3 linked regions of the Lonchura striata genome follow. Each later gene encodes a partner of the first gene's protein in a complex. Links are inferred from orthologs where the notes say so. Each region holds a gene or a part of one and is shown in the gene's direction. Other genes may lie near its edges.

Region 1 (10,250 bases):
ATTTTTTTCATCATGTATATTGTGGTCTTCCCTGCCCTTCTTTTTAAGTAACAAGAAAAAATACCAAACAGGAGAAAGAGAAATATTTCATGAAAAAAAAGTCACTGCAAACCTATGGAAATGTGTATGGCAACTCATAAACATGTTGCATTGAGGGTAAGCCTAGATTTCTCCACTGATGCTCTTGGAGAGGAATAGTGAAAACCCCAGAAAGGAATCCAGGCACAGTGAAGCAGAAACTGTGAAGGTCATCCTGATCTTGGACATAGCATCATGCTAAAAAAATCATTATCTATTCTTTTTTGTTTGACTACTTTAATACCAGTAGTCTTAATTATATGTCTACTATATGTATTTGTATGCATGAAATACATATAAATATAGAAATATGTCATTATATGTGTATTTTTTGTATGATATATGTTGTAGTACACACGTTAGTCTGATTCTGCATCTGAGCACAAATAGGCAATTTCGGTGCTAATGGTCAGACCAGAAATATTACCACTGACATATTATGTGCAATTTGCTTACACAATTCCACCTTCCTTATGCATGGGAAGAAAAAAAATGGATCATGCAATGTGTCAGGTAGTTTTTTTAACCACATCTGGATGGTTCCGGCTTTGATCTTTCTTCATAAGCTGAAAAGATGTGATGTGCTGAAAAAACCTTTCTGTTCTTTACAGAAAGGTAAAAGTGAATTGATTGGTGAAAGCTGGGACGCTGCCTGTGCTATTGGCTGTGTGAATCAGAAATTAACCAAGCTTCCTCAGATTCAGAGGAAAGGAAAAAGGAAAACTTTGCAGGAGACAAGCTGTCATGTGGGAACAGGCAAGGAGTGTAATAAGTGAAAAATTACTCCTGCCTAGCCATGAAATGTGGGCCTCAGCAAGGATGTTGGTGTTGTACCATGGGGAGTGATGGTAAGGCAAATTCAGGGAGGGCTTCAGAGTGCTGTAGCATTAACTCATCAGACAACTCTAATGCCTGAGACAGCTGACTCTTCACTGTAATCTACCATTGGCCCGAAATGCAATGGAAGCCCCCAAGGGCACCAAGCAGGAATCCATTAGCCATCAACTATCAATCACTTTCCCTATAGTGTCCTTTAGCAGTCAAGGGCTTATGTGTTTAAGCTGCTATCTTAATAACCCATACATCACTGTTCTTCCCAGGGCACAACAGCAAGTGAGCAGTTGTCTCTTCAAGCAAAAAAATAAAAAAAATCACCAGAGAAAGGCAGGTTTTACTAGTGGGAAATCTAAAATTAAAAACAACAAACTGTTTATAGTCTTAAGCGTATCACTCATTTAAAATAAGTTCTAGTGTAATAGAAAACTAAATGCAATTTTAGCATGTATAGGAGTGTATTTGTATGAGGAGAAAAAATACTGACACAGGATTGGAGTATGATTTGGCAGACTCTCCCTGCCAGGTAGCAAAAGTCTCAGTGAGATGACATTGTGTCCCTTAATGCAAAAGAAAGTGTCATAAGTCACTGTAACTAGCAGTAAACCACTGTGATTTTGATGAAAGTGGACACAGCTCCTCAAGCTTTGGCAGAAAACTGTGTGAGAGGATCTCAAAGTCCTCCAGGACTTTGAAAGAAATTAGGTACCTCCAGCCTATTGCTGCTCCTCTGAAAGCCTGAGCAGTGAAAATAACAGAATATTATTAAACTATCTAAACTTAAGAAGTCATAAATACAAGAAATCAAATTGATAAATAATATTGTGGAAATTGTAGTCCCTAATCTAACCCCCTTACTGAAATTTTGTTTTTCATAGTGATTTCTCTGGAACTGCTAAAATTGCCAGGAGGGAGGGGATTGTGTATATGAATAAACTGCTGTAAACTGTCCTACAACAGGAGGCTTTAGTAACTACTCATCCAGTGGTAATTTAACCTGGAACAAAATCATCCTAGTGCAATTCCTAAATTATGGACACACAATTATCAGACATTTGTGTCTTCACTGAGTTTCCCAAAGAGATGGATAGATACTTCCAAACTTCTCTTAAGTGTCACTTAAGCCAGATAGAGGTGAGATAGTCTCAGGCAAATGCCCAAGTTTTTTTTTCAGGGAAAATCATAAAGTAAAAAAGCTTTATCAAGAAAAATGAAGGAAGGGAAACATATAAATCCAGCAGTTGTGTGGCTGGAACAGTGTAATTCTATAATAAGAGGCAATTTAGGTATGATTTAGGATCATATAGGCTTCATTTTAAATCTGGGCACAAGGATGAACTCTCTTTTAGTAATCTAGCTGAAGGATAATTTTAAAGCAAAAGCCTCTTCCTTGGTGTCATGATTTATTGTATAATTTTATCTTGCTTAGACACATCTATTAAGCCTGACATCATTCCTTAGTGTTTCCTCTGTTGATATTACTGAAAATGAACATAAAACCAAGTCTGTGTCTGTCAGGTGTCTGGTTGTGGACAGTCATCTGCTGACAGAGTTGGGTCACCCCCACACCTCCACACTGAGGATTGGGAGGGAGAAAAATCAGCCAAAGAATTATCACAGCACTCCTTTGTATTTCAGAAGACAAACTGCAGCATTGTAAAGACCTGTAGTGTTGTCCTGTGCTGCAGGGTTTGGGCACTGAGGTGTTCACACCTGGTGGCTGTTCTGGGCGTGAAGGGGGATGCTGGAATATTTCTGTGGATGTGGAGCTCTGCTGAAACCATGGCATGAGCTACCACAGTGCAGCTCTAGCAGGCTGGGAGGCACCTCCTTTATTTCTGGTTGTGGAACGGGGATGCAAACGTGTGCCAGGAGTAATACAGCTGCAGCAGATCCTATTAGGAAGAGCGAAGTGAGCTAAGGAGCTCTGGACGTCCTTTCCCAGGCTGTGATCAGGAGCTGCTAATTAGAAATGGGATTTGACAGCGCAGCGCTGGAAGAGAAAGGGAAAAGCAGGAAAGCGTTTTTGAGCAGGGATACAGCAGGAGAGGAGACACCAGGGCGGGTGCATACGGAGGGAGAGGCTGGGATGAACCGAGCAGGATTCCAGCTCCTTCCCCCGTGAGCGGCGCGGGGCCGGCGCTGCCAGCGGGTGGCACCGCGGGGCTGCTGAACCACCGAGCCGGGCACAGGAGACACTGCCGAACCTATTCGCACATCCCTCCAGGTGTTTTCTTGAGCGGGAGATCGCTGGTGGAGTCCATCTCTCCAGGCAGAGCAAAGTTACCCTGGGCTATCCCCAGCAAGTGTAAAGAAGTGGATCTGCAGCCCTGGGAAGAGCAGTCTCGCAAACAGATGATGGTTTTATTCCAGAGCCACATTAGCAGATGATAAAACTGGTACCCTGTCCAAAGGATGCCATCTGGGCTCCCCCTCCCTCAGTCCTATGCAAAGGCAGGTTAATTTTACCTTTGCCTTTATACATGGGAGGTTATGCTGCTGCAGCTTTAGTCCAGCTCTTCCCGGAAACTACTGCCTGCTTACTGAGATGAAATTTCTGTCTGCACTTAGGATATGTTGCTGGTGGTGTCTCTTCCTTCCAATAACACAGCAGTGTGCAGCCATTCTGGCCCATTTTGTGGTGGTGCCGCTTGACTTCAAGGCAAGACCAGTGTGGCAAGCAGCATCTGGACCAGACATTGATTTTTTTTTTTTTTAATACAACACATGGGCCTCTCACGATGACTGCAAGTCAGTGTGAGGAAGCACTGGAGCAGGGAACTGCATTGGGAGTTATATTGTAAAGCGAGGCCCTAGAAGGATCTGCCAGTCATTGGAGTCTCATTGACATGTTTTTCCCTGGCTCATATTCACATTTCCTTTTCTGCTCTCTCAGCTTGGAATAATTTATTTTGTAAACAAAACAGAAAGAGCAGAAGTTTCAGGCTATGTCATTCCCTGGAGTGAAGGCAAACACAAAGAGTGACAGCCTCAGGCTGCATGTGGAGTCTTTTCAGAGAAGACAACTTGACAAGTGCCTTGTCTGGTGTAGAATCAAGGGAAGATTGGTAAACAGTGATTGCACAGCATTCAAAATAAAGACTTCAGGCTTCAAAATAGAAGAGGTTAATCAAGGTCTCTACTTGGCTTTCCCCCTGCTGCGGGAGAAGGAGGAGCTGGATCTCTCACTCTGTTCTTCACATCACTCTCTCTTTTGGGGTTTTTACTTGTAGAATTTTTCATTGTACCTTTTAGGGACATGTGTGAAACCCCTAGGCCTATTGCAAACACCTGGCGTTAAATTTGTGCAGCAACACACAGACCATTGTTGTGCAGAGCAGGAGAGGAGCTAAAATAATTCCTGAGCAATGAGGTAAAATTACTGTGAGGAAAGGAAGAACCCTGAGACATGAATACTTTTACAATACTGTCATGCTGCAAAAGGATCAGTGTTGACTGAATTTCTGAGCACAAAGAAGGATGAAAAAACGCTTTGTGTAATCAAGTAGCTTGAAACAGATTTTATATAAACAGAGTGAGATAGCATTTATTTTTTTCCATACTTCAGTTTTACACTCCTACATAATTAATACGCAGCAGACAACATGTTTTTTCCTTGTACAGTATTCATTTTCCAAATAAGTACAAAGTGTAAAACATTCAGGTTTTCATAATAGCAAAAATATTTCAATAATTTAGAAAGTGAAACAATCAGAATTAAATCAGGGGTGATGAGGGGGTGGTTTTGGTATCATTTTTTGTCAAATTTGTCACTTGCAGCAAGAGGCAAAGTTTGCTGTGCTTGCCATGTCATTTTCAGAGGTAACAGAAAACTCACAAGCATCAGGGAGCAGCAGAACTCACCAGCTGTGGAAGGGCCCAGCACCTCTGCCCTTTCTTTTGAGTTCAGGCAGTGAGATCAGCTACTGCATTTGATAATTGCTAGGCTGAGGGCAGCTGAAATATATTCTGTTCCATTATCTGTGTTCACGCTGTCAAAAGGACCTCAGACTTTGCAACTGCTGTGACTGCTGTGACTGATCCGAGATCGGCCCCTTCTGGGTTTGTTGCCTGCCAGAAATCTCCTGAGCCAATAAATCCACGTTTCAGGGGCTGTGGTGCCTGAGGAGCTTCCAGGCAAGGTAAAGCTGCTGAAGCTCAAAGCATCCTGGATACCCGCACTGGCTTACCCTAGAGAGGGCACAGGTAACTTACCCTGAGCTAGGGAGAAGAAAAAGGCAGTGAGAACACTGCCATTCCTGGGCAGGGAGAGAAGGCTTGTCTTCACTGCAAGAATGGACATCCATGAATCAGAACTGCCTCCCTCCTCTCCTTCCCTAGCCACTCCAACTGTTTAACTTCCAGAGAATACCTCCATAAACAAAAATATGGGCACCAGACCCTCTGATGACATCCAGCATCCCTGAAAGTGTTACCCCATCCCTGAAAGCATCCGAGGTCAGGTTGGTTGGGGCACTGAGCAACCTGAGTTAGTGGGTGGCTTCCCTGCCCATAGCAGGGGTTTGGAAGTAGATGATCTTTCAAGTTCCTTCCAACCCAAGCATTCTATCATTCTATAATTCTGTGATCCATTTGGGATGGCCAACAAAGGGGATTCTGCAAGACTCAAAACCATGAAAAAAAACCTCTCCTGTGACATTTGTCCTCAGCTTTGGCCAGAACAAAGAGGAATTTTGGAAGGAATTTAGTGAGGTTTGAATGTACCAGACAAAAAGGAATGTTAGATTACTCTTCGAAGTTTCCATGGACATTGAATTACTGGAAGAGAAATAGTACTAGTGATTATTTATCAACAAAGACCAGCATGATCTGCATCTCAGTCCTGAGGTGATTAAAAAGAGACAGGTCTGAGCAGAGGTAACTCTTCTGTGCTTTCTATGTTACACTTCAGCTGTAAAAGTTATATAAAGTGGCAATACATTTTTTAGCAGAAAATCTGACCACTTATATAATTTATTCTCTCCTTTGTATCACAATGAAAAAATCTATTTCAACAGTTTATACGTATTTGAGTTATGAAATGTTATATGTGAAGATGTAGACACCTATTTGGAGCAGAACTGGGGTCATGATTAAATGGTTTACTTATTTCCCAAATGAATAAGAAAGGAAACAGGGTGCTGCAACCTTTTGCTCTCACTTCCTCATGAGAGAAGACATAGAGGCTGTCCCAGAGAGAGCAGGGCTGCTGTGCACACACATCTCAGGCAGCCATGGGGAACTGGGTGGAGAATGAAGGACTGTCCATCTTCGTCGTTGTAAGTCCAATTTTTATTGTGATTTGTGTCTGGTGAAAAGTTCTACAGAAAGCTGTGCTGAGCACTTCTCACTGTGCCAGTGAAAGATGCACCTGATTATGCTGAAACTGGGGCAGCAGGTGCAGGGAAAGGCTTCAAGGGAATCATTTTTAAGGAGCTCTCTGGTATATCAGTTGCTGTTGGCTTCATTGCTAACTGAGAGATTATTGTGTATTAACTTTGCTTTGTTAGAAATACTTTAGTTAAGCAAAACAACTTTAAAACCCACTTAACTATGTGCACTTCAACAGAGAAAGCAATGTAAACAATCACCCTTTCTTGCACTTTTATGAACAGAAGTGGGTGTAACTGAAAGCACAGTGTCTTGATGGTATAAAATTTTTATTAATGTCAGATTCAAGAATTTAGAGCAGACATTCATGAATCCTTCAATAAGACAGCTATTATTTTAATTGAATTTGTTTACAGTTTGCATAGAGGGACTGCAAAAGTAGGTTAAATTAATTCTGATCAAGATTTTAAAGTATGGAAAATCCCAGTCCTCCTTGGAGAAAATTAAGTTTATACTCTAGTGTTTTCTTTTTTTATGTCACAGTATAAAGGTATACCACTAGACATATACATGTATATATGTACATATACATATATGTATTAAAAACACGTACAAAACCAAAATGTAAGAGCAGTTTTGATATTGTGATTATCTTTTGTTAGTAGATGTAAATATTGAGAGGAAGAAAAAGAAGGTGCAGAATTTGTATATTTTTGGTGACCGAAATGTGAGCATCTTTATTCCAAGGGGCATTTCTGCTGCTATGAGCAGTCAGTACTTGCACATGACCTTGTAATTTAAAAACATAATCCCAGAGCTGTGGCACTTCAGTGCTTTGAAAGGGAGTGACCGTGTTTGCTGTCACCTTCAGTGACTTGAGGAAGTTGAAACTGACAAGAGATTTTTGGCTTTTTATTTTTCCCCCACCAGAACTGAAATATTAAAAGAATTAATTGAGGCCTTTATTTTGCTCAAAAAAAGGAATTTGGTTTTTGAACCTCAAAGCTGTAACAAGCAGAGGGTAACAGGGAAGGAAACTAAGAGACATAAAGAAATCAGCTAAAAGGACAGACCACTGGAAACCCCACCCAAGTGTTCTGCTTTAGCCTCTACATCTTTACTGTACACTGAACAGGCAGAGGTTTGTCCACTGCTTGACAGAAACAGGTCAAACACGATTCCTACTGATGTACTTCAACAAAACAGAAACACTCTGTCATTTTAATAAGTGTCCTAAGCACTTAATCCTGAGATGAGCTTGGTGTTTTAATGAGGACTTGGGGATTTCCTATATACTGCCTCACCTTGATGGAAATCCCTTCATTTCCCAGTATTTATTTACATTTTCAGTATTTTAAATAATCCCAAGTGTTTTTTACAGTGTTATTTAAGCCAAAAATCTAGCAAAATATATGACTTAGGAGGTGCAAGGAAGTTTAATGTCACCTTTTCTGGGGTTTCTCCTAGTTCTCAGACTTTCTCTGTTTTCATGCACCACTTATTAAAACTACTTAGACCGAGTGCAGTCATATAGATATGTTTGGGTATGGGATGTGAAATGAGCCCACCAGCTCCAGGAGAAAAAATACCCAGATTCATCATGACCTTTTTTGCCAGGTGAACTTGTAGATGCCTAAGAGTTAATAACATGTCTTTCCCTAAAGAGCCTGCACCTCAGGATGTGTAAGTGTGAGAAAATTCTGTGGTACAGCTACACAGAAGCCTGGTTTGGAGTAGTCTACATGCTGCCAAAGGGCCTGTGTTGAATATTCCCTGCTGGCTGATTTCAGACCCTCTTCTTGAATTCAGCCCTATTTGTAATTTAGCCTATCTAAATTTAGATGTCAAGCTTCTTTGTCACAACTTCCAAGTCTTCCTCTCACATAGGTTAATGTGCCAGTGGAACTGCCATTTGGAAGAGTCCCTAACCTTTAATGGTATTTAGAGATTTAACTGGACTCAGAATTAAACACTTGTAATATGACAGTCCTGATACAACCAACCCTAAATTCCTTGACCTGAGAAAACCTTTCAGCTGCACATTGCTGTGTTTTGGTTTATTGCCACTCCTGTACCCTGTGTTCACAAATCAGAGCCTGTTTATACCAGAAAGATTTCTATCACCCTTGCTGAAAACTTTATACCCTGCAGTACATCTCTCTGTGCAAACAGGAGCACAGGGAAGTAACTGACTCTTATCTGAACTGTGTAAATTCAGATGGATTATTTCTAACAACAAACTGTAAGCTTCCTTTTAATTCTCTTTCAGCTTGTGTGGCTGGGCTTAAATGTCTTCCTCTTTTGGTGGTACTATCTTGTATATGATGTCCCACCAAAATTTTTCTACACCAGAGTGCTCCTTGGCGTAAGTATAAGACATTATTATTTTGTCACAGACAATAATAACACAGCAGTTTTGAATAGTTTTAGCTGATCAAAACTGGATCTAGTGGCTGGAGCAGCAGCCTATTGTAGAAATCACATGCAAGCAGATAACTGCAGGCAGATGTTCAGTGCTTCTGAACAGAAAGCTGGCACATAATAGAGAGATCCCACTCTAAATATGTTTTCAGTTAATGATTATGTTCCTAGTAATTAAATTAAGCACTTATTGTGGCTACTTTATTAAGCAAAAGATGAATAAAATATTGCTGTTGAACTGTTGTGCAGTCATTTCTCCTTGCAATTATTTTTCAGAGCATGAATAGTTTATAAAGATATTGGCTCTGAAAAGCAATCATCATTCATATATTCATCAAGAATGCAAGTGGTAGTCAGGTAGTGAAGTGATCCTGGATCCTGGGCTATTCCATGTGATCCAGCTGGTTAGGGCAGCATTATGTGTCCTACTACAAACTTGCTTCCAAAGCTACCACAGGTCACGACCAATTGACAGGGAAAATTAATTTGTTCATATATTTAAAACCCTGATCACAGGCATAAAAATCAGCCTAAGCTTCAGATTACAGAGCACAGCATTTTGCTGAAGGTTTGCAAAACCATGGTTTAATTCTACAAAGCATGAAATCCCATTCTGCGTATGGCTTCTGGTCTGTGGATCAAATCCTGTGCTTTGCAATCCTGATGCAGTTGCCTTTGAAGTCACAGAGACTTGTGCTTGGATAAGGAGAGCTCAGTGTAAACCCAAACAGCTGTGCTCTAAAACCTAAAAGGTCTCAATCCATACAAGGAGAGCAAACATTATTTTTCTTCCCTTCATTGCATTTTGATTAATATGGTCATTTTTTTCTTCACTTTGAACAGTTCAAAAAATTTAAATAATTAAGGATGTAAAGGCCAGCATTAGGGAAACAGATTCCTAAAAGCTGAGGCAACAAATTTCCCTAGACTCCTTTACTGACAGAGAACTTCTCTTGTAAGTTGTCCATAACCCCCACCAAATGAAACCACAGACTCTTTACAGCCCTGGGACACAAAACCTCTACTAATGGCTTAGATTTGCACCTGTGTTTGCCTGTTGAATGCCAGACATGACAGGGAGCTTTTTATACAATCATATTAATTCAAAACTGAAAACAGGTGTCTGTTTGTCTGCAGGAGTGTGTTCTGCCTGTTTCTGACTTGATCAGAGCACGATTCCTTTGAACATTCACGGTGTAAATGTGAACTCTTTACCAGTTATGATATAATGCATAAATGCAATCTGTACCTGTCCATGCCCTGGATAATGTCTTAGGTAATACAATTAATAGCAGCATCTCTCTAATTACAGCGTGCTCTGGCTCTTGCAAGAGCCCCTGCAGCCTGCCTGAATTTCAATTGCATGTTGATTCTGCTGCCAGTATGTCGAAACTTGCTCTCCTTCCTCAGAGGATCAAGTGCGGTAAGATGAAGAAAGAATTTCAACATTTATGAAAGATATTATCTTTCATACCTAAACAGACTTGCAAATATACCAAGGAACTCAGTCCAAGTTCCCCAAATGCACCATATTTTGAGGATGTCCTTTTATGAGAAGCAGATAAGGCTGGAGTTTTGCTATGAGC
Region 2 (9,772 bases), on another chromosome or scaffold:
CTAATCCTGGCTTGAGGTAAAAATTGTAATAGCTTTGGTAATAATTTTCTGTGCCTCTGCTCTCTTCATTAAAGATGCTTTCACATTTCATATTAACCCAAGCTTTTTACAGGCACAACCACTCCTGAGCAATTCCTATGTGACCTAAGAATTTGCATTTCCTACAGACTTGCTGGAATATAGCATTATCTGACATCTTTCTTGTTCCTGTGGATGAGTATTTTCATACAAAAAAAGCTGTGCCAACCTCCCACCTTATTCCACCAGGATACAACAGCTATAGTTGCATTGACCAATAAGGTGATAGGATACATGAGAAGTTCTAAATTAGAAATGTGTTGAGATTTGCACTTAAAGGCACAGCTAAAATCTTCCTGTTTCATACTCTGATTACACCTACATTTGTTATCCAAAACTGATACAGTGATTCTTCAAAAAACATGTCAGTTTTATATATTTCTATAAGTGCACAGATCATATTTAAAATGGACCTCTGAAGGTCATCTAGTCCAAACCTCCCTTCCACTAGACCAGGTTGCTCCAAGCCCCATCCAGCCTGGCCTTGAGTGTTTCCAGGGATGGGAATCTGGTGAACTAAGTTAGTCATCTGTTACAGGACTGGATTAAACAATTCTTCTGCAAATCATCAAAGGGCAGAAGACTGAATTTCCTCCCATGTTTATTTTGTATTCACAATGAAAAACAGAGAACTGCATAGAAATGGAAGCATTTTGCAGAAATATTGAGGACATCTTAGGTACGTACATTAAATAGCCCTATGTTATCCTTCATTTTAAGAATACTTGGATTGAATTTATTTCGATTTAAAAATTCAAACAAAAAGAGCTAAAAGTTATACAAACTGAAAAGTGTGCAAGGAAATCTGTTTCAGTGCACAGTATAAAGTTATATTTGTGAAATCATTAGATAATTAGATGTCTCATTTATTTTATTGCCAAGAGCACTTTCTGTTTTCCATGAACTATGGATGCCATTTTCCCCCAGCACAGTGGATCTTTGACACCCTGAGACAAGAAAGCACCATCCTGCTTTAATCTGGGGATGGTAACACTTTCCACTTTTGCAGGGCTGCTTCCCAAAAGCCTCCATCTCTAAAACCTTTCCTATGCCAGCAGCAGGTAGCACTTAAAGGCATCACTTCTTTTATTGCCACTGTTGATGTATTTTGCCTTCGTGCTCTTTGTAACATTTATCCCTGCCCTGATACATGTTGAATGAAATGGAGAAATAAGAATTTCCCTGTGAAAACAGTGTGTTGCAAACAACTGCAAAGTGTTACAGGCTTTGCATCTGTCCTGCAGGGCAGTGCCAGCTGTAAATGGCACAGTGACAGCACATGCCACTCCCCAGCTGTCAGAATTGGGCAATAACTCTTGGCTACAGCTGGTGAACATGTATTCCATGAAATCTGTGCTTTGCAGGCTGCACACACACTGTTCCCAGAGGTCAGGGGCAGCATGGAGAGCTGCTTCTGTGGGGTGAGCTCATTTCTAACAGGACTCGCAGCCAATTCTGTCCAAAGCATTTGGTCGCTGCTTCCAAGCAAGCACTCTGGGAATTTATCCTGGCACTTAGTAACATCACATGCTTATTGCATAGCTGAATTCCTAAGTTTAAGACCTTAGGGCGAAAAAAAAAAAAAAAAAAAAGTATCTAGAAAAGAATATTTAAGGAAATGGTCTGAAAACGAAAAAGCACCAGAATTACAGACATGTCAGACTAATTCAAAATAAAGGCCAGCTGTGTTCTATCTGCATGTTCTTGGGTTTAGGTCAATGACTTACAAGTTACAAGTGTGTTTACTACACAAATAGAACATAAACACTTCCACAGAATCTATTTTTACATTGTTGAGGAAGAAGTCTACAAATAGTCAATCACATATTCCTGAATTGTTTATTTTGGAAAATAGTTTTTGTTTCTGCAGCAGTGGTTTGGAATTCATGCTGTTAAGCCCAGGCTTTCAAAATGTTCATTCTTCCTTTTTCTATTGGTAGGCAGAACAGCACTCACCTACTTCAAAGAGCTGGGGAAAAATCCCCATATTTTAGAAAAAATGCTGTATTTTAGAAAAAATGCTGTGAGAATCATTAATGGATAGCAGAAACTTAGAAGGATCCTTGCCATATTTGATTGTGTATGTATGTGCTAATTCCCATGGTTGAAAAAACGTCTCTGTAACTTTCATAATTAAATTAAGTCATATCAGGTTATTCTAGTGTGACCTCTGAAGAACTGCAGAAGTAGAGTTGCTGATAATTTTGCAATTAGTAAAATAATAATAAAACATATGCTGTGTGGTTTATGCTGAGTGGAGGGGACAGATGAATTTCTTGCTTATTCAAGAAATAACACAAGAAACCTTTTGTCTTGTATCAATTAAAACAGCTTAACATTTGGTTCCCAGAGAAACCAGTTGCTTATAAAAACTGATTGACAGCTAATTAGACATAAATATCTTCCCAGAAGAATCAGTCAGCTGTTTGTTTGGGTTGAGCACACGTGATACTTATTACTTCCTATTTTTCATCCAAATCCAGCAGCTGGTACCTTGTGACTCACAAGCAGGCCAGTTCATTCTTGCAGTTCCTCACTGCCTTTCCCATTAACACACTTAAAGAGAAACTGCACATCAGCTGGTATTTTCCAGTACTTACACTTAAATGTCTTTACCATGGACTCTGGGGTGTTTTTTTCCCTATATTCACTATAGAATGTTATGAAAATCACTGATTTCACCAGACTAATGTTGAGAACAGCTAAATAAATTTCTATCATGTCATGGCCTGAGTAAACACTCCAGAATATATTCATGTTTGGAAAAAAGCCAAAAATTGAGGATTTCACCCAGGAAGGACATTCCTGTGCAACTGAGACAGGACCAAATATTAGTTGTAGATGAAGTTACACACTGACTTAGAATAATTTAAGAAGTTAAGCTAAACGACAGATGTCTGCACTTCACCCATCCTGCCTGACATAAGCAGTTGCTCTAATGGATTGAACAGGAACAGCTTTCCCATGTGAATGATGTTTGACTGAAACGTGAAAGATTTTCCAAATGCAGCCTATTTGTCCACAACAGGAAAATTACTCCGTATTTCAAGTGAATTAGAAACTTTTTCTCCCCAAATAACAGATTTTTAAACCCAAGCCTTCAGCTGATGTACAATTCAGAAAACTCATGTTGGACCTGTAAGATTATCGCTGATATTTCTGCTTTCCAAATATAAGTGATGTTTAGATTTTAGAAAAAACAAGTTATTTGTTGATGAAATTGCCTTGTTAAAGTCTAGGGCTTGATAATGTTTTAATGATTTCAGACCTAGCAGAGGTTAACAAAGTCTGAGAAAAAAGGATGCCTGCTGGCGGTGGACACAAAGAATTCAGAATTTAGGGGCCATCTGGCAAGAACTCCCAATATAAGAAGAAACAAATGAAGCCAACTCAGCAACTGTGCTGAAATCAGCTCCAAGTGGGTAAAAGGTAATTCTGGCAGGTGGAATCTGCAACCGCTGACATAAGAAACCCACCGACAAGAAGGAAAGACTGCACATGCAGACTTATTAGCTTGACAAGTGAATTATTAACCAATAGAAGACAGAACACTAATTATTAAGAGAATTATGTAACTTGTAGGCAGTGAACGTTAATGTCTGTGTTTGCGGAAACGTGTACGTAGTTAAAAGCTTTGGTGTGCTTGATCTGTGGAAACCACTTTGCATCCTGAGCAGAATAAACGTCTCCGTACTAAACTAAACTCTGTGTCTGTGTTTAGAGAGCACCTAAAATCGGTAACACCTCCCTGCAGACGTTCCAAACCCACCTGAACGCGTTTCTGTGTCAGCTGCTCGAGGTGTGTCAGCAGGGTTTGGCCTGAGCGATCTCCACAGAGGCTCCTTCCAACCCCAAAGCTTCTCTCACTCTGCCACAGCCGAGGCTCAGCACCGGCGCTTTTGGGGCAGCGCTGCCCCGAGTGCTGCCATCGAGAACCCAGACGTTTCCTGGCCTCCCCGAGCCCGGGGACAGCCCCCAGGGGAGCCCTGTTCCAGCGAGGGGCTCCCCTGCCCTCCCCGACCCCCTCATGCAAGGGGCCACGTCCACCTCACCCATCGCGGCCCGGTCCAACTGCATCCACTGCGGCTCACCCACACACCCTGGAGCAGTTCACTCCTCTGGCCACGCGAGCTTTCTGCTCTTTCCAAGCACCGCTAAAGTGAAACAACCAAAGAAACATCGAACGCTCGTACTTCAGCAGCACCCGCGGGCGGAGGCGCCATGCTGAGTACTGGCAGCGCGCCGCCATCTTGGCGCGGCGCTGCCCTCACGGGCGGGGAAGGGAGGTTTAGAGCCCATCCTCTGCGCCATGCTGAGTACTGGCAGAGTGTCTTGGCGCGGCGCTGCCCTCACGGGCGGGGAAGGGAGGTTCAGGGCCCATCCTCTGCGCCATGCTGAGTACTGGCAGATTATCCTGGCGCGGCGCTGCCCTCACGGGCGGGGAAGGGAGGTTTATGGTGCATCCTCTGCGCCATGCTGAGTACTGGCAGATTATCCTGGCGCGGCGCTGCCCTCACGGGCGGGGAAGGGAGGTTTAGAGCCCATCCTCTGCGCCATGCTGAGTACTGGCAGATTGTCTTGGCGCGGCGCTGCCCTCACGGGCGGGAAAGGGAGGTTCAGGGCCCATCCTCTGCGCCATGCTGAGTACTGGCAGATTATCCTGGCGCGGCGCTGCCCTCACGGGCGGGGAAGGGAGGTTTAGAGCCCATCCTCTGCGCCATGCTGAGTACTGGCAGATTGTCCTGGCGCGGCGCTGCCCTCACGGGCGGGGAAGGGAGGTTTATGGTGCATCCTCTGCGCCATGCTGAGTACTGGCAGATTATCCTGGCGCGGCGCTGCCCTCACGGGCGGGGAAGGGAGGTTTAGAGCCCATCCTCTGCGCCATGCTGAGTACTGGCAGATTATCCTGGCGCGGCGCTGCCCTCACGGGCGGGGAAGGGCGCATCCTCTGCCCTCACCCAAGATGGCCGCGGGCGCGCCCGTCCGTCCCTGAGGCGGGACCAGCGCTGAGGGCGCGGGGCGCGGAGGCGGCGCGGGTCCCTTCGGAAGGCGGCTGGAGCCCGGCAGGTACCGCGGGCGCGGGGCTGGGTGAGGGTGAAGGGCAGCCTCGGGTTCCCCACGCGCGGGGGGACAAAAGCCGCGGGTCGTGGGTGGGTTTTGGCAGGGTCGGTCCCTGGCTGGGGAGGGTCTGAGGGGGAAGCCAGGCTGGGGTGGGAGCAGGTGCAGGCTTGGGAGGTAAAGAAAAATGAGGTCTGTAAAGAAAATTCAGCTGATGTGTGGTCCTGACTTGATGGCTGCTGGTGGTGGAGATTTCAAGGGGTGAAAATTTCAGTTCTTCCAATGGGTTTTGCTTGCTCTCAACCGAGAGCTTGGAGGAAGCTTGAGAATGTTATTTTGATGCTGGAGAACAGTTCAGTGTCACACTTGACAAATTAAAACAAAATTGAGTTTTGTAATATAAAACTAAAGAGCAGCACAAAAACACCTCTTTCTCTGTCATCATAACATTGTTGTAGTAAAACTTTAGTATTTGCTTTAGGGTGTGTTTATGATTTATTTGTTAAATGTAACTTTAGAAGCTGCTTTGGTGCTTTTTATTCCAAGGTCTATCTCTTGCAAGCAGCAGCCTGTAAGAGACAATGAACTGATGTTGAGTGTCCAACATTAAACCAAAACTGGCATTTGCCTGCTTGAACTTCCCTAAATAATTGTGGAGGGAGATATCAAAGTTTGAATTAATGGACTTGACTGGTATCTGTGAGAATTATGTTCTAAGTAGGGTGTAATATTTGTTAAATACAGTGAGGTTTCTGCAGTGATCCTGATGTATTTTATAACTTGGATTTGATAACAGGCACGAGAAGGCATTGTAGATGCAGAAGTATTTTCCGGTATATTGAGAACAACTCAAAGGAGTCATTTGAAAATTAAAATTTGATGCTTGACATCCGGAGGAGATGGAGCCTGTCTCATGCTTAAGTGCTTTTGGCTCTTTCGGTTTCAGATGCTCTCAGATGTGTTGCTAAGAGATTAAAATCAAAGTCGCGGGTGCTTTTTGTTTAACTGAAAAGACCTGGCTAAATCTGCTCCCCTGGAGCTTTGTGTCCACACTACCAGATTTGCAGGAGCATCTTCTTGTATCCAAGGGCAGCTGGATAACTAAAGGACTTAAAATCACATATTTGCCTTTTGTGAGAACTTGGATGTGTTCAGACCTGCTCTCTTCGTGTTTTCATGGTTATTCAAAACCTGATGAAGGTTGGCATTTTATGGAAACCTGTTATCATGGGCAGCTAACAGCAGCTTGATGCCAGCCTCCTTAAACTGGTTCTGTGGGACAGGCTGCCCAGAGAAGTGGTGGAGTCACCATCCCTGGAAGTGTTCAGAAAACATGTAGGTGAGGTGCTTAAGGACATGTTTTAGTGGTGGACCAGGCAGTGCTAGGTTCGTGGTTGGATCTTAAAGGTCTTTCTCACCCTAAATAACTCTTGATGCTATGCTGTAAAACAGTAAAAATGTACTGAAAATGCTGCACGGGATTACCCAGCTCTTACTGGTTTTAATTAGTACCTTTTTAGTCTCTGCTGTTTCTGCCTAGGCTGAAGGCATGGTCTTGTTGAGGACAGACAAATATGCTCTTGGTTGTATTCTTGAGGTGTCTTGGAAGATGGGGACATCATCTGTGGCATTATGGGATGCTGGCAGTGCTTGGCTGTAGCCCTTCCTGGGATGGGATCCCATGTCAGAGCTGCAGAAGGCTGTGCTGTCCTGCCCAGCTCCCAGACTAGCCCTTCACACAACACTTTGAGCTCACAGGAAAAGAATCTTTCCATTCCCCTTACTGTTTTATCTGTTTGAAGGGCTGCATGAATGAGCAACAACGCTGTTCCAGGTTCTTGTTTTTCACATTTTTCTTCTGGAATCTGATTACAATAGAAAGGGACTTTTACCCCTAAAATGAGAACTTTCTTCCAAGAGTTCAGATTCCTGTTGTTGTTACGCAACTCTCAACATGACAGTTTTACTTTGTGGTTGGTTTGAGGGTACATATTGCTCTTCCTGTCCAAAAAGACTGTGTTCTTACCCTGGAGTATCTTTTATAGTCTAGAGTAAGACTTGGTAAATACTGGAAGGGAAACTGGTGAAATTGTCAATGATTTAAATTTTTGGTTTTGTTTTTGTTTTATTGGTCCAGTGAAGTTTAATGAGTCAAACTGAGCTGTTGGGAGTTTCTGTTGAAGATGTACATGTTGGTTGAAAAACGCACAAATTCCCATCTTCACCTAAAGAGGTCACCTGGCATCCGATCCTGGTCTCTGTGTGTTGGTAAGGCCACAGCATTCATTTCAGAGCTTGCTTTAAGGGAAGAGGGTCACAATAAACTCCTGAAGTGCCCCTAGTGAAATGCCTGCCTTCCAGGCATTTTCCTTTCCAGAAGAGGAATGATTGTGCTTTGAACTCTTCCTTTCTCATAGCCTCTAAATGAGTCTGAAGCCTCAGCATGGCAGTTTCGCTGTGAGACTTTCAGTCTCATCTGGAGAACCTCAGAAGCTCATGGATGGAATTTTAAGAGACTCCTGAAAGATCAAGAACAGAAGGTTTATGTGCCATGCAGCAATAGAAATGTGAAGCTTCTGAAGGGGCTGTTAGGTTGAGAAACATCTTTTTATAGGAGTGGAAAACTGCAGTGTGGCCATGCTGTATGAAATGGGAAGTCCTACAGGATATTCTGAAAGGCATCTTTATAAACACTGCTGAATATGCAGGGAAAATCAACTTGTTAGGATTGTACTGAGAGAGCTGCTGGGGAAAATCTGGTCTATCCTGCTTTCCAGCTGAGCAGATCCCACTGCAGTAACACCACGTTGTCATTGCTTTCAGGGATGTTGTTGAGAAGATCTTTGCAGTTGCAGCAGCCTTTGGGGCATGGGGCACTCTTCAGCTGCTTTCTTCTCCCTGAGAGAAAAGAGCTGCCAGTTTCTGACACAACTTTACTGCAGAAGTTGTCTTTTGGCTCCACATAGCACTTAAAGGGGAAAATAACCATTGTAAGGTTTGTGTGAGCACTCTAAGTTGTACTGTGCTAAGAGTAGTATGTGTGGTGTAAGTATGGTGTCATGGTTCGATCGAGTCCCTCTGAGGTTCTGTTCCCAGTTAATGTCACAAAATTTTCATTTCTGACCCCAGCCCCTGTGCTTTTAATGCTTTTGCAGAATGGAAGTTTTTTTTAAATACTGAGAGAAAAAAATAACTTTCATATAGTGATCTATGTTGCAATCACATTTGTCCTGTTTTTGCAAAGTGATGTTTTTCATTAGGGAATTTTAGATGTTTTTTGAGCTGCTTACTTGTCATAATTCTCTCCTCTTTCCCCCTAGGAATAGCCTCCATAGGTTTGGCTGCTGCTTATTATAGTGCAGGTAATGGCCTATCGCTTTTTTGGGTTTCTTTCCTATTAATCTGTTTTTCATGCTGATGACTCACCTGCAGCTTCTGTCTGGCTCTTCAAAAGCAGTGGAAGTTCCTCTCCCACTTTGTGGTGTGAATATTAAAACCAATAATAACTGTTGCCTTTATGACTTAGTGTGCTTTATTCCTCTATTTCTTACTCAGCCTCCTTTTCCATTTGCAAGTGTTTTTAATAATGATATTGGTACTCTGTGGCATTTTGTACTTTCAATGTTTTATAAATGTGATTAGCTGGTCCTCACAGCTCTCCTGGGAAGACAGGTAATGATTATTTGACACCATAATGAAATGATTACTTTTTCTGTGATGGAAGTTTCTCTGGAAACTGTCAAATCATCACTATCAGAGATTACTCATCCAAGCACCTTTAGGGATGAGACAGTTTCAGCTGCTTCCTCCCCCTGCAGTACAGCAGACTGCACCAAATGCCAGCTGTCTTCCCATCCATGGGATTTGTCCTGGAAGCTGTCCTGTGATTCTTGTGCTGCATCCTGTTAACATCAAATGTTAGAACTTAATGGTGTGTAGGAATGTGCTACCAATACAACCCACGTATTTTTATTTAAAGAGCAAGATGCAGTGGAAACTGCTTGAGCCACCAGCTAAATCAGCCTTGTTTTTCTTAATACGTTGCAACAAAGTTTTCTGAAATCCCAGCACAGCTCTACTGTGCCTTCAGTTAAAAGCCTGAGTGAGCAAATTATTCAGGCTGTGACATGTAAACATTTCCAGGACATGAAATGCAAATGTTTGTTTGTCAAGAGGACCTACTGCTTCCTTTTATGCAGAAACATGTTTGCTTTATTGAATTTTCATTATCCCTGTCCTTGTCCTCTGCAGCACAAATATTTGGTGTTTGACAGCAGCTTGGCAGTTTTGTGGATGCCTTTTAAGATGTCTTTGCTTGTACAGAAGAGACAGATGTGATGTTAGAACCTTGCCAATAATACATATGCTTATAATTCTGCATGGTTTGAAGCCCAGTGTGAATGAAGACTCTGAACAGTGTGCAGGCTTTCTGTATTTTCATCCTGGGAAAGAGCTGTAAAATAGCTTGTAGTACAACTAAAGGCAAAAATGTTCCATCAGAGAAACCTTTCCTCCTTTTGTTGCTTTTAAAGGGAGCATGTTGCTTTCAGGATTGTTTGAATACCAAAGAAGGGGGGGGAAAAAAAGCTGAATTTGTGCATTTTTTGCATTGTTCAGACAGCTTGGCATGGAAGCT
Region 3 (10,485 bases), on another chromosome or scaffold:
TGATGCCCGAGGCTCATTGCTTTCAATGCTGCTCACCTGCTTATCACATCTGGAGCCCATTCAGGATGAGGTTTGGTCACAGCCCCACTCCCAGTCACCACAAACTCTGTACCTACATGATCTTGCCTGCCACAAAGGTAGGAGACATATACAGGCAGCTTGGTCAGGGCTGCTCTTACGCATCTGTGTGAGCAGATCAAACCACAAAGACCTGCCAACACCAAAATGCATGTCTGTATACACTGCAGAAGTTCTTTCAGCCACTCCAGCAGAGTACAAAACCTGGCCCTGTGTCTCTCCTCCATACTTCCTTCATCTTTTAGCTCCTTGGTGTTTCTTTCTCAAAGCTTTTCCCGCCTGTCTGTTGGAATGTCTGAATGCCCTGTTTGGAGACCTTGCTCCTATTTCAGTTTAATGATCACCTCCACTACTTGCATTCCTCTGGGTCTGGTAGCCTTGCTTGTAACATTTGATGGACCTCAAATGCTTTCAGTTATTGCAGACAGAGGAGTCTGAGTGGGGAATGCACTGATAAAAAACTGCTTGAGTCTATGTCATGTGAAAACAAAGCACCTGTGAGATGTTTTCTCATGAGGGTACACAACAGACAAGATCATGTAAATAAACAAACCCTAGAGTATTTCCCATTCTTTCCAAAGTTCAGGGAAAATATGCCTCTCTGTTGTGGTCCCTAGTCCTCCACTAATTCTCATGGTGGACCAACTACTTCAGTTCTAGGCTTACCATGGAGTAATACAATCTGTTCTTCTCCTGAGGAAACTTGAACCAGTTGAGAAGTCAGTCTACTTGAGCATCCCAGACAGGCAATACAGAGCTGTAGTCAGCTCAGATGGATACCAACACTACCCCAGCCAGGAATGTGTCAGCAAATGCCCTTAAGGTGTCACATGTTCCATATTCTGTGGTCATGGCATGAAAAGGCCATGAATGGACTACAAAACAGAACTTTCGTTATTTCAAGAAAAAAAGGTGGGGGGACAATGGAAAGGAAAGGAAAGGAAAGGAAAGGAAAGGAAAGGAAAGGAAAGGAAAGGAAAGGAAAGGAAAGGAAAGGAAAGGAAAGGAAAGGAAAGGAAAGGAAAGGAAAGGAAAGGAAAGGAAAGGAAAGGAAAGGAAAGGAAAGGAAAGGAAAGGAAAGGAAAGGAAAGGAAAGGAAAGAAAGGAAAGAAGGAAATTAATTATGCCCTTGGGATATAGGATCAAATGTATCCTAGGGAAAATGAGGTTTAAATGCTGTACAGTGTGGTCAGAGTTGCCCATAGCCAGTGGCTCAGAGCATGTGGGTTCTCCCACAGGGGGTATCCAGGCTGTTCCACAGTTCTCACCTCATCAAGCATGGGCAGACCAGTACTCCAGGAATTACTCCCTGTGCCGCCTGTGAAATGGACCAGTTTTTCTCCCCAGATGCTCCCTGACTGCACACAAAAACTTAAATTTGAGCTGGAAATATCTGTTGTTTGACGGTCATGATGGAAAATATCAAACCAATAATGTGCATGCACTTTTCTGATGCTTGGTACAGGCTTAAAATAATTGTGTAAATAAAAAGGACATATAAATATTTCCTACTGCTTTCAAGGGGATAAAGGCAGGGACAAAGTGCCATGTATCTCTCTGTGCTGAACATGTCAACTGTATTCCCACAAGTCTCCACAGAGCAACAATGTACAGGTCTGTTCAAATTCAATAGCCCCTTCAGGAGGCTTAGGCTGCCATTCAGTTTGGGCTTAGGGACTGGAGTCTATTTTAAAGGTAGAAAGATGGTGATTATAAAAGGCCATAGGCAAGAAGAAACCCTCTTATAAAGATTACAGAAGGGTCACTTAGAGTCTGATAAATTTGAATGAAGAGCCAGAGGAATTTATATTTTTTTTTTGTTAGACTTGAAAGTGCAGCAAGATTGAAGCTTTATGCCTTTGAAATAAAATGGTGGAAGGGAAGCACAAGATTTTACTTTGGTAGTTCAGGAAATATTAGTCTTGTAAAACAGAGTAGCTATAGATTTTCTTAGTACTCTAAACAGCTCTTTTCACTTCCCTGGTGCAGCCTTCCTAGAAGACATCATCTCTTACAAGCAAAGATATGTATTAGATCTGTATTTATGAAACACAGTATATCTAACATCTGATAATATACAGAGAGTGCTAGCAGGGAGGGGAATCTAGTCATGCAGCTGACACTCAAGTTTGAATTGATACATATAATCTTTAGTCCCTGTTACCTTCTACAACAGGCAGGTGAAAAATGTTGTTCACCTGTCTAAGCACCTTGTGGGAAAGAATGCACAATCAGATATTGATCTGTATTTATTGCCATTAAAGTGGCACACTCATATCAGCAAGATGGGGGTTGTCACTGGCTGATAGTAAAATGTCTCTGCAAATGGAAACCCGTATCAGCATCGCTGGGGACCTGCAGAAGTACAGAGAACCAGATAAGGCCAAGCCACAAAACCCTAGTAAGGCTTAGCGTCTGTGAACAATTTCTCAACTGAAGGAAGTACAAGTATGAAACAACCATCACAAAGAACGTGAAGCCTAAAGGTTTGTGCCATGCTCTTCTGCTTACTCAGATCCATAAGGGAAAAGATGAAGATGAGGAGGAGGTGAACCCCTTTCAGTGCTCCAGGTAGGAAGATGGCAGAAGAACTGCTGTTTTGGCCCAAAGTGGAAAGGCTGGGAGCAGTCACACTCAGAAGACAAAGCCTCCATGACACGAGGCTGTTGCCCTGATTTTTAAAATGTTAAGTTTTATTTTATAGTTCTTTTGAAAGTTTTAAAGTTCTCATAAAACTTCTTTAGCCTTCTGATAATGTTTACATATTTGAGAGTTCCCACACAATTTCATATATAAATAGAATAGTTTACATATTTCTCTGTGGGTGGAGAGAAATGATTGATTGATTGATCTTTGGACCAGTGTGGCTGGAGAGGTGGTAATTCCATTCTCCAATCCACGGTAACCTTCAGAATTCTATAAATACCAGATGTTTGAATAAAACTGTGTCTTTTTCTCTTTTGAACTTACCAAGCTTCTGTGTACTCATTTTTTGTCCAATAGCAACAAAAGGTCAGGAATGGACCACCTCCCCCTGATTACAGTAGGGCTGGTCTCCAGAACAGCCCATGAGTAAGACAGGTGCAAAACTAAGCAAGCACTTTTGGAAGTTGAGTTGCTTATGATGGATGTAAATAGCTTCAGTGTCTTCAGTGAGGCTGGATTGGAAACTTCATTCTTTTTCTAAGCTTTTGTCTGATAGAAAAAATTTAGGCTGGAGAAGAGAGCCCCATCAGAAAACAGACCCTGTATGAAACAATTCCACAGCCTCTCTAAGAGGGACTGCAGAACATCATTGCCCATTTCAGTTCTGATCTGAGCTCCTAAGTCAAGACAGGCTTTTTAAGCAACTGTGGCAGTCTGAGAAACCGCAGCAGTGACGGGGGAGGGGAAGCAGCAACAGGGAGTAGGAATTTTGGAAAAGAGAAGCAGCAAAGCAAGAACTAAAAGCAGGAGACAGATGATATGAAGCTGTGTCAAAAAGGGAAGTGGGAAGGAACAAAATAGGAATATAGGAAGTGGGACAGTTTGCAGTCCAGTCAGGCTGAAGCAAATTAATGTTTACCCAGATGAGCGCCCAATGCACAGAACAGTTCTCATGGCCACTCAGGACTGCCTGAGAGAAAGGTCACATGAAAAAAAAATCCCGGGAGATGAGAAGACATGCTGTGACCATGTCCTGTGTGTGCAAAGAAATGAGCACTCTTCTGCCTCCATGAAGGAATTCTCCCTGCTATTCTGTCTGTGCTCAAGGACAAGCCTCCTGCTCAGCCTCTGCCCTCCTTTACAGGGCTGTGATATGCAAGTACCATTTCTGAAAGAGCCCCCTTACTTTTATTTCATCATCTTTGAGGGGGCAAAACACCACAGAAAGAGAGGGAGAGATAGGTGGTCCTCACTGCTTTGGATCCTTGTTGGGGAAAAGCAGTATCATGCATTTCATCCCTGCTCCGCAGTCTCACATGGGTGCCATGCAAACCCAGCACATCCGGGTCGCTCTGAGGTGACCCAGCTCAGGGCCCTGAAAACCTCCCAGAACAAAAGTGTCTCATTGAGCAATTAATTCCCTTTAGCATCTCCCTCAAACTCAGCAAAGGGAACAAGAAACCACAGATGTTTGCCCTGCTGCACATGCAGAAGGAAACTCAAGTCAAGAGCACCTCTTGGTGGTGTGAGAGGACATCAGAGCAGCAGCAACACATCTGCATATGCTCAGTCCAGGTTTATGAGCCTGTTTCCTGCAGGTTCCTTCCTTTTCCTGCAGTATGTACAAATGAAAGGTATTAATGCAGCAGGTGCCAGTTGTTCTTAGAGTGATTACTGTACATGTTGAGTGCAATTTCCCATTATCAAATAATCCCATTTAATCCCATTTAAATATGATGGAAAGAAACATCCTGAAAGATCCTTGTTGTCCCTCTACAGAGCTGCTGGTGAAGGAAGGATGTTTATAGATTCACAGCACAGATTTTGACTGGACAAGAGCTGACTGTCCATTGCAGTTGCAGGGAATTATCTTGCAAAAATAATTTGCCCAGAAATGGGCTCTTGACAGGACTTCATAGCTCATTGCTGGACATGCAGATTTACAGTGTCTTTGACATCGGGCCCATCTGTATGTGGGTTCTCCACAACAGTCCCTCTTCCCTGACCAATTAAACTGGTCATCTTCTCTGGTCCCTTCCACACTGCCAGTCCTACAAACACATGTGCCAGACTACCAGGACAAAAGTAAACATTGGTGTTCAGGCATTCAGCAGGTCAGTGGTCCTTGCTTATCCCTGCCACCAGGTCCTAGAATGGCTTTTGCCTTTCCACCAGTAGCATTCTCTAGAGCCTGATACACCTGCCTTCCAACTGAGTTCATATATTCTGTGCCTGCCTGTCCTTTCCAGCTCCCCTCTGTAAAAGCCTTTGTCCCTCTCTCTTATGTCCTTCTCTGACCTGGATTCCTGTGTGCCATTTCTGCCCTCACTTGCAGAGTTGTCAGAGGGTTTCCTTCCTCCCGTTTCCCTACCACCCACAGAGGGAACACCTCGTACAGCTGCTCATTTTGTACTTCTGAAATAGTGACGAGACTTGTTAACATTCCATGGTTGAAGGTTTCTGGGCTGTAGCCAGCACTGAGTGACAGCTGGGAGCACTCTCCTCCAGAGCAGGTCAGTCACAACAGCTTCCTGTGGCTGCAACAGCACAAAGGTCATCAGCCTTTGGAGAAGCGCTTTACTCAGAGTTCCTTCCTTCAGGAACATCCCAGCTGCAAAACCACTGTTCTTGCTCTGATTGGTCTCCAGGCAAAGCCTGGAAATTCTTAATTAATTCTGTGCCACCATATCTTCTCTTCTATAAAACCCATCTCCTGCCCATCCACTCATGGGGTCAGGCTGGACCACCCAGATGTGCACACATAAACTCTTTCTGAGGCTTTATGTTGCATGGGGGGAGAAGGAAGGAAGAGGAGGCAAACCCTCATTTCAATAAAGAAAGGAGTAGAGCTTCCTGAGATCATTCTGCTCTTGTCTCTTCTTTCTTAGGGTGATTGCTTTCTTCTTCTCGATGCTTAGCTCTAAAAACCTTTTCTGAGGTCAGTGAGGACTGCCTGAGAGAGTTGGGGTTGTTCAGCTTGAAGAAGAGAAGGATGTACTAGTAGTCTGGGCAGGTAAGTAAGTGCAGCAATACTTTTTTTGCCCACAGTAGAGGAGGAACAGAGCAGCCATTGGGTCGCAGCTATTTGCTAGAGGCTGCATGACTTCCTTGTTCAGCTTTCACAGTATTGTTCCTTGTGATGTTTCACCCTTGACACTTGGGGGCTCTGTGAAGACCTGAAAAACCTTCATTACCCCTCATCACCCTTGTACTCCCACTTCAGAGTCCCTTCCCTGCTAACACCTCCTCCAAAGCTTGGATGATAAAGGAGGGAGGAGAAAACCCACCCTTCCACATGCTCACCCCGCTTCTAACCCTTGTTCAGCTCCCCTGGGAAAGCAGTTTGGTGCCCCCCGCTGCCCGTTGGGATGAGGTGGGAAGGGAGCGGGTGAGACAGGCAGGGAGAACGAGAGCTGTGACAGCAGCCGTCACCCCGGCCGAGGAGTCACGCCTGCCCCGCCTTCAGCCAGCGGCCTCTGCCACCGCGCTCCGCTGCGGCGGAGGGGCGGAGGGAGCGCAGGGCGATCGAGAGAAGTTCCCTCTTCCACTTCCTCCCTCCCTGCAACCTGCTGTCCGCAGACCCACACTTGCCCATCCCTCCCTGCTGTTTGCCTTGGCCTGACTTCCCTTTGCCTCGGGCACCGTCCTCCGCCACGGGTCAGAGCCATGCAAGCCATCAAGTGTGTGGTGGTGGGAGACGGGTACGTACCGTGCGGGGTGCGGGGGGCGCGGGCGGGACGGGCTCTGACCGGGGCACGGAGCACAGTGGATGCTTGCTGAGGCTGGCCCCGCTTTGCTTCTGACCTCCTGCAGGCTTGCTACCACTGCAGACATCCTCGCTCTTCCCTCCCCGGGGCAAGGGACATTCTTCTGAGGGAGCGTGGAAAGAGGGCATTTCGCAGGGCATCTGCACGGAAGTGCTGCTCATGCATCTGCGTTTCCATCTGCATTCATGGGAAGTAGAGCAGATCTGTCCCACACACAGGAGGTGATGGTGTTCCTGCCAGATTCAACTTGTAGGCAGGAGTTGGATTTAAAACCCATCAGGTGCAAGTGCTCTCCTGCAGGTGAATGGCTCCTTGAAAGCCATGTGCTCACTGGGAATGACTGGGAGAGGGCATGGCACTCTGGTCCTGGCAAGATGTCTGTCAGGATCTCCAGCTTTTCTCAGCAGGTTAGCTCCGTACTGGGGTGTGCTGGAGACTGCTGGAAAGGGCCCTCTGTGGAGCTCTTTCTACTGAGATAGGCAAAAGTATAGGCCACTTTGGGAGTGGGAGCTAACAAAACCTTGCCTTCACAACATGGTGGCTTCTCTGCCCATGTCCCCTGATGCCTGGAAAAGGCCTGATCCAAGACTTCAATGAGTTAAGTAGTCATTGCTGCCTGGGGCAGGAAGGATACAGTGGGCAGAGCACCTTCCTGCCCTGTGGGATGAGTAAATGCAAGGGAGGGAAGGAGGAGAGTCTGTGCTTGAAATGGAATAACTTAATTTCTTTCCACCTAGAAGCTGGCCAGACTTATCTGGGGCAGCTGTAAGGTAGTAGATAAAGAGACATTTACAGCAGTGCTGCTCCCTACAATCACTTCCTTCTTTAGACCTTGCCTGGGAAAGATGTCTGCACACATACCCGTACATGTCAGACATGTTCTCAGGGGCTGGGGCAAGGGGGTGGGAAGAAGGCATGAGGAAAGACAGAGCCCCAAATAAAAACTGTAACCTCTAAGAAAGGTCCCTGAAGGCTTTAAACTGGAGCTGGATTAACATCTCCACTGGGCATTTATCTCTTACCCAATTCCCCATCCTGTTTGCCCCTCACACAGAGCACCAACTGTGTAGCCTTCCCTCAAGGCAGCATCTCCTCACATCATGGTTAACCCCACCACATGTCCTGTTTTACCAATAGGTAAAGCCTTTATAAAGCCTTACCTTTCAGTAACAGCCCTGCTCCCAATGTCTAGGACCTCAATTCCTCTTAAATGTCTTCTGTCTCATCATTTTGCTTCTCTGTACACCTCTCACCTTCTTGCAACACAACCCCCATTGCTCCGAGCTCTTGGTTCACCCCTCACCTCCCTCCTGGCCATGCCAGCAATGTCACCCTCTTGGCTCAACCCTAACAACTACGGGACCTTCTCCTATCACTCAGCTCACGTGTTGTCCCATTGCTGTTCTCCCACTATAACCGCTCCATCACAGATCACTGACCTCTTAACATGCCCTGGGTTCAATCACAGGAGCCTGCAGATGCCACTAACCTCACCTCTGTGTGGTAACCTTCACCCCTTCACTGACCCTTTGCACAGCTCTCTGTTCAAGCACACAAATTCAGAACCTCCCCCTCATCCATGACTGAGCCACTCACAGGCCCATCGATCTCCTGAGGCATTTCCTGTAGAGCTTCACCTCCCTCAGTAACTCCATAAGAAGGAAGCAAGACACCTGGGGAAAGTGCAGGGTTTGAGAGAGGAGGATCTAAGAAAGGGGGTTGGCAGGAGGAAGAAACAAATGTCAGAAGAGCTCAGCTTCCCCCTCAGCTGCCCCGCAGCCAGCCACAGAGGCAGGTGCCTTGAGACCTGACAAGGGCACACAAAAAGGCAGAGCTGCAGCCCTGTGGTAGGGGACTTTGCAGCTGCAGCTGAGATGGTCTGAGAGTCTCCAGCAGCAGAATTCCAACCTTTGCCCAGAAAAGACCTCTCCCCACTTCTGGGCTGTGCTAGTTGAGGTAGGTTGCTATCACCTGCCTGTGTTCTGTAACTGAAAAAGGGCCAAGCTTTCCTAGGCCACACAAACCTGAGAAACAGCATCCCAGCAGGAGAAGGATTTCCTTTCCAACACCTGTCTTGGCTGCTTAATTTTCTTCCAGTTTCTCTGCACTTCTTTCCCTCACCACAGGCTTCAGCTTGCCCACAGCACCTTCCCCCACATGATAGCCTTATTGCTCCTTATCCCACCAATGCTCTCACACAGTCTGCACTGTGTTGCTACCTTGCACTCCACCCTTCTGCAGCAGGCTGTGGGGGAGGCTGAGGAGAGAGGAAGCACCAGTTTCTTATCTCAGAAACACCACCAGCAACTTCCATCAGCCATGGGGGCAGGCAGCTTTCTGGCTCCTTACAGCTCTCTGTGCAGGTGTTGCTGCAGCTTGCTGTAGATAAGAAAGATTGAGTAAAAGACTTGTTTCCAGTTCCTGGCCACAGCAGCTGAAAAGCAGGCAGGAGTGCCTGTACTCGAGTGCTGAAGCTGGCATGGCAGCTTTGTCATGGCACACCAAGCCAATACACCTGTCCTGGCTGAGAGCCTACAGCACTCTGCATGCACTGTAAAATGGGCTCCCACCTCCATCTCAGAGTGGATGTGTTTTACCTGAGTAATCTCTGTACTAGACCATAAACAAGCCTTCATGCTCAAAAACAACAGATATTTCTGGGCAACATCCTGTCTTTCTTCCTGCCAGGTTTCTAACCTGTTGTTGTGCACTGTCTAGCCCTGTGAATGTTTTTCTGCTTCCAGAGGTCTCCAGATAGAGCTAGGCTAGAGGTGTGGGAGGATTGCCCCATCTCCATCTCACCCTAGCAAGACTGCCTGCGCTGCCATGAATTCCTGCCATTGTTTTATTTCTCTTCCAGGGCTGTGGGAAAAACCTGTCTCCTTATCAGTTATACCACCAATGCCTTCCCAGGAGAATACATCCCCACTGTGTGAGTAATTCATAAACAGGTCCTGGAGTGGGTGGGAGGCAGGATGTGAAGGGGCTCAGTGATGTCATGTGCACTCCATGGGTCACAATCTCCATGCCAAGCAGAGGAAACCCAGTGAAGGGCTCTCTAACTTTGGATCTGTTACCTTTCACAAGAAGCAACCTTATACAACCCTGGTGTAAATGGGATATCTGGGAGCCTCCAGCCAACTCAAGGTCTATTTGCTTGCTAAGTTTACAAGTAGCAGATGGGATCCTACTGGCCAAAACAAAGAGACACTAGGTTACAACAACTGGGACAGACCCAAGAGAAGGCAGATGGATGGACATGGGACCCTGCTTCCTTCTCTGTCCAAAGCACTTGCTGTCATTGAAACAGTCATAGATTCTGCATGGAGCAGAGTCACAGAATTGGTTGGAAAAGACCTCTGAGATCATTAGGGCCAACCACTAGCCAAGCCCTGCCAGGCCCTCTACTAAATCATGTCCCTTCTAACGTGCAGATGCCATGAACACATTCATAAGACCTTTGTGGTGGTTCCTCCCTATCACTGGTTTCCCTTAATCTGGGAAAAAAGAACCAAAAGGACCAAGAAATAAAATTTTCTAGGATGAGCGTAGGAACTTCTCTGTTGCTTTATTATCCTTTTTTTTCCTACCAAGACTTTATTCCTAAGCATGCAATCCTGACAGTTGTTCTAAAATATTTCAAGCTCAGTTGTCAAAGGGTGATGTGATGCATTGTTCTCATTTCCAGCAGGGCTGTTGAGGAGTGCAGCAAACTACAGAGACACGGATTCTTCTTCACTTCTCAGAATAAAACTAGGTTTTAGAACACAGAAGACAGGGGCTTGGCTCTAGAGCAGACACAGTTGTGGGAAGGATACTGGGGAAAAAAATGGGAAAAGAAAACAATTTGTGAACTTGCATGCAAGGTGTAAAAGGTGTAGCTGCAGCCAGGCACCTGTCCAGAACAGCTGAATGATGGGGAGGAAGTTGATGAGTGAGGATTCCATAAAGTGGAGGTTAACAGGAAACCAGTGTCACCCAGGTGAGCTGAGAA

What was found.
Region 2: the proteins of CYBB (region 1) and CYBC1 are in contact, whole or in part, in a cryo-EM structure (PDB 8KEI), measured with the Homo sapiens proteins. The link is inferred for Lonchura striata from reciprocal best matches to the Homo sapiens genes CYBB and CYBC1. Residues at the interface, in NP_000388.2 of Homo sapiens: Trp28, Asn74, Leu75, Leu76, Ser77, Phe78, Leu79, Arg80, Gly81, Ser82, Ser83, Ala84, Cys85, Cys86, Trp206, His210, Phe212, Pro266, Met268, Trp270, Lys271, Ile273, Tyr280, Tyr324, Phe326, Lys328, Leu335, Glu336, Trp337, His338; in NP_001028218.1 of Homo sapiens: Arg22, Leu26, Ala37, Ser41, Gly42, Asp43, Trp47, Phe50, Tyr51, Phe57, Gln61, Asn62, Glu64, Lys77, His97, Asp98, Gln99, Val100, Val101, Val102, Leu103, Arg108, Ser111, Glu115, Val117, Arg118, Tyr119, Phe120, Arg129, Ala131.
Region 3: CYBB (region 1) and RAC2 share a complex: the UniProt entries of both Homo sapiens proteins name them as parts of the phagocyte NADPH oxidase complex. The link is inferred for Lonchura striata from reciprocal best matches to the Homo sapiens genes CYBB and RAC2.

What each region holds. Positions count from the first base shown.
Region 1 is NC_134604.1:108,559,335-108,569,584, forward strand, and holds the start of CYBB (NADPH oxidase 2), read left to right. Parts: upstream 1-6,009; 5' UTR 6,010-6,146; coding exon 6,147-6,191; intron 6,192-8,512; coding exon 8,513-8,608; intron 8,609-9,976; coding exon 9,977-10,087; intron 10,088-10,250. UniProt on the Homo sapiens protein: Catalytic subunit of the phagocyte NADPH oxidase complex that mediates the transfer of electrons from cytosolic NADPH to O2 to produce the superoxide anion (O2(-)).
Region 2 is NC_134621.1:2,917,516-2,927,287, forward strand, and holds the start of CYBC1 (cytochrome b-245 chaperone 1), read left to right. Parts: upstream 1-5,006; 5' UTR 5,007-5,145; intron 5,146-7,273; 5' UTR 7,274-7,319; coding exon 7,320-7,404; intron 7,405-8,456; coding exon 8,457-8,498; intron 8,499-9,753; coding exon 9,754-9,772. UniProt on the Homo sapiens protein: Functions as a chaperone necessary for a stable expression of the CYBA and CYBB subunits of the cytochrome b-245 heterodimer. Controls the phagocyte respiratory burst and is essential for innate immunity.
Region 3 is NC_134607.1:23,190,212-23,200,696, reverse strand, and holds the start of RAC2 (ras-related C3 botulinum toxin substrate 2), read left to right. Parts: upstream 1-6,296; 5' UTR 6,297-6,390; coding exon 6,391-6,425; intron 6,426-9,351; coding exon 9,352-9,423; intron 9,424-10,485. UniProt on the Homo sapiens protein: Plasma membrane-associated small GTPase which cycles between an active GTP-bound and inactive GDP-bound state.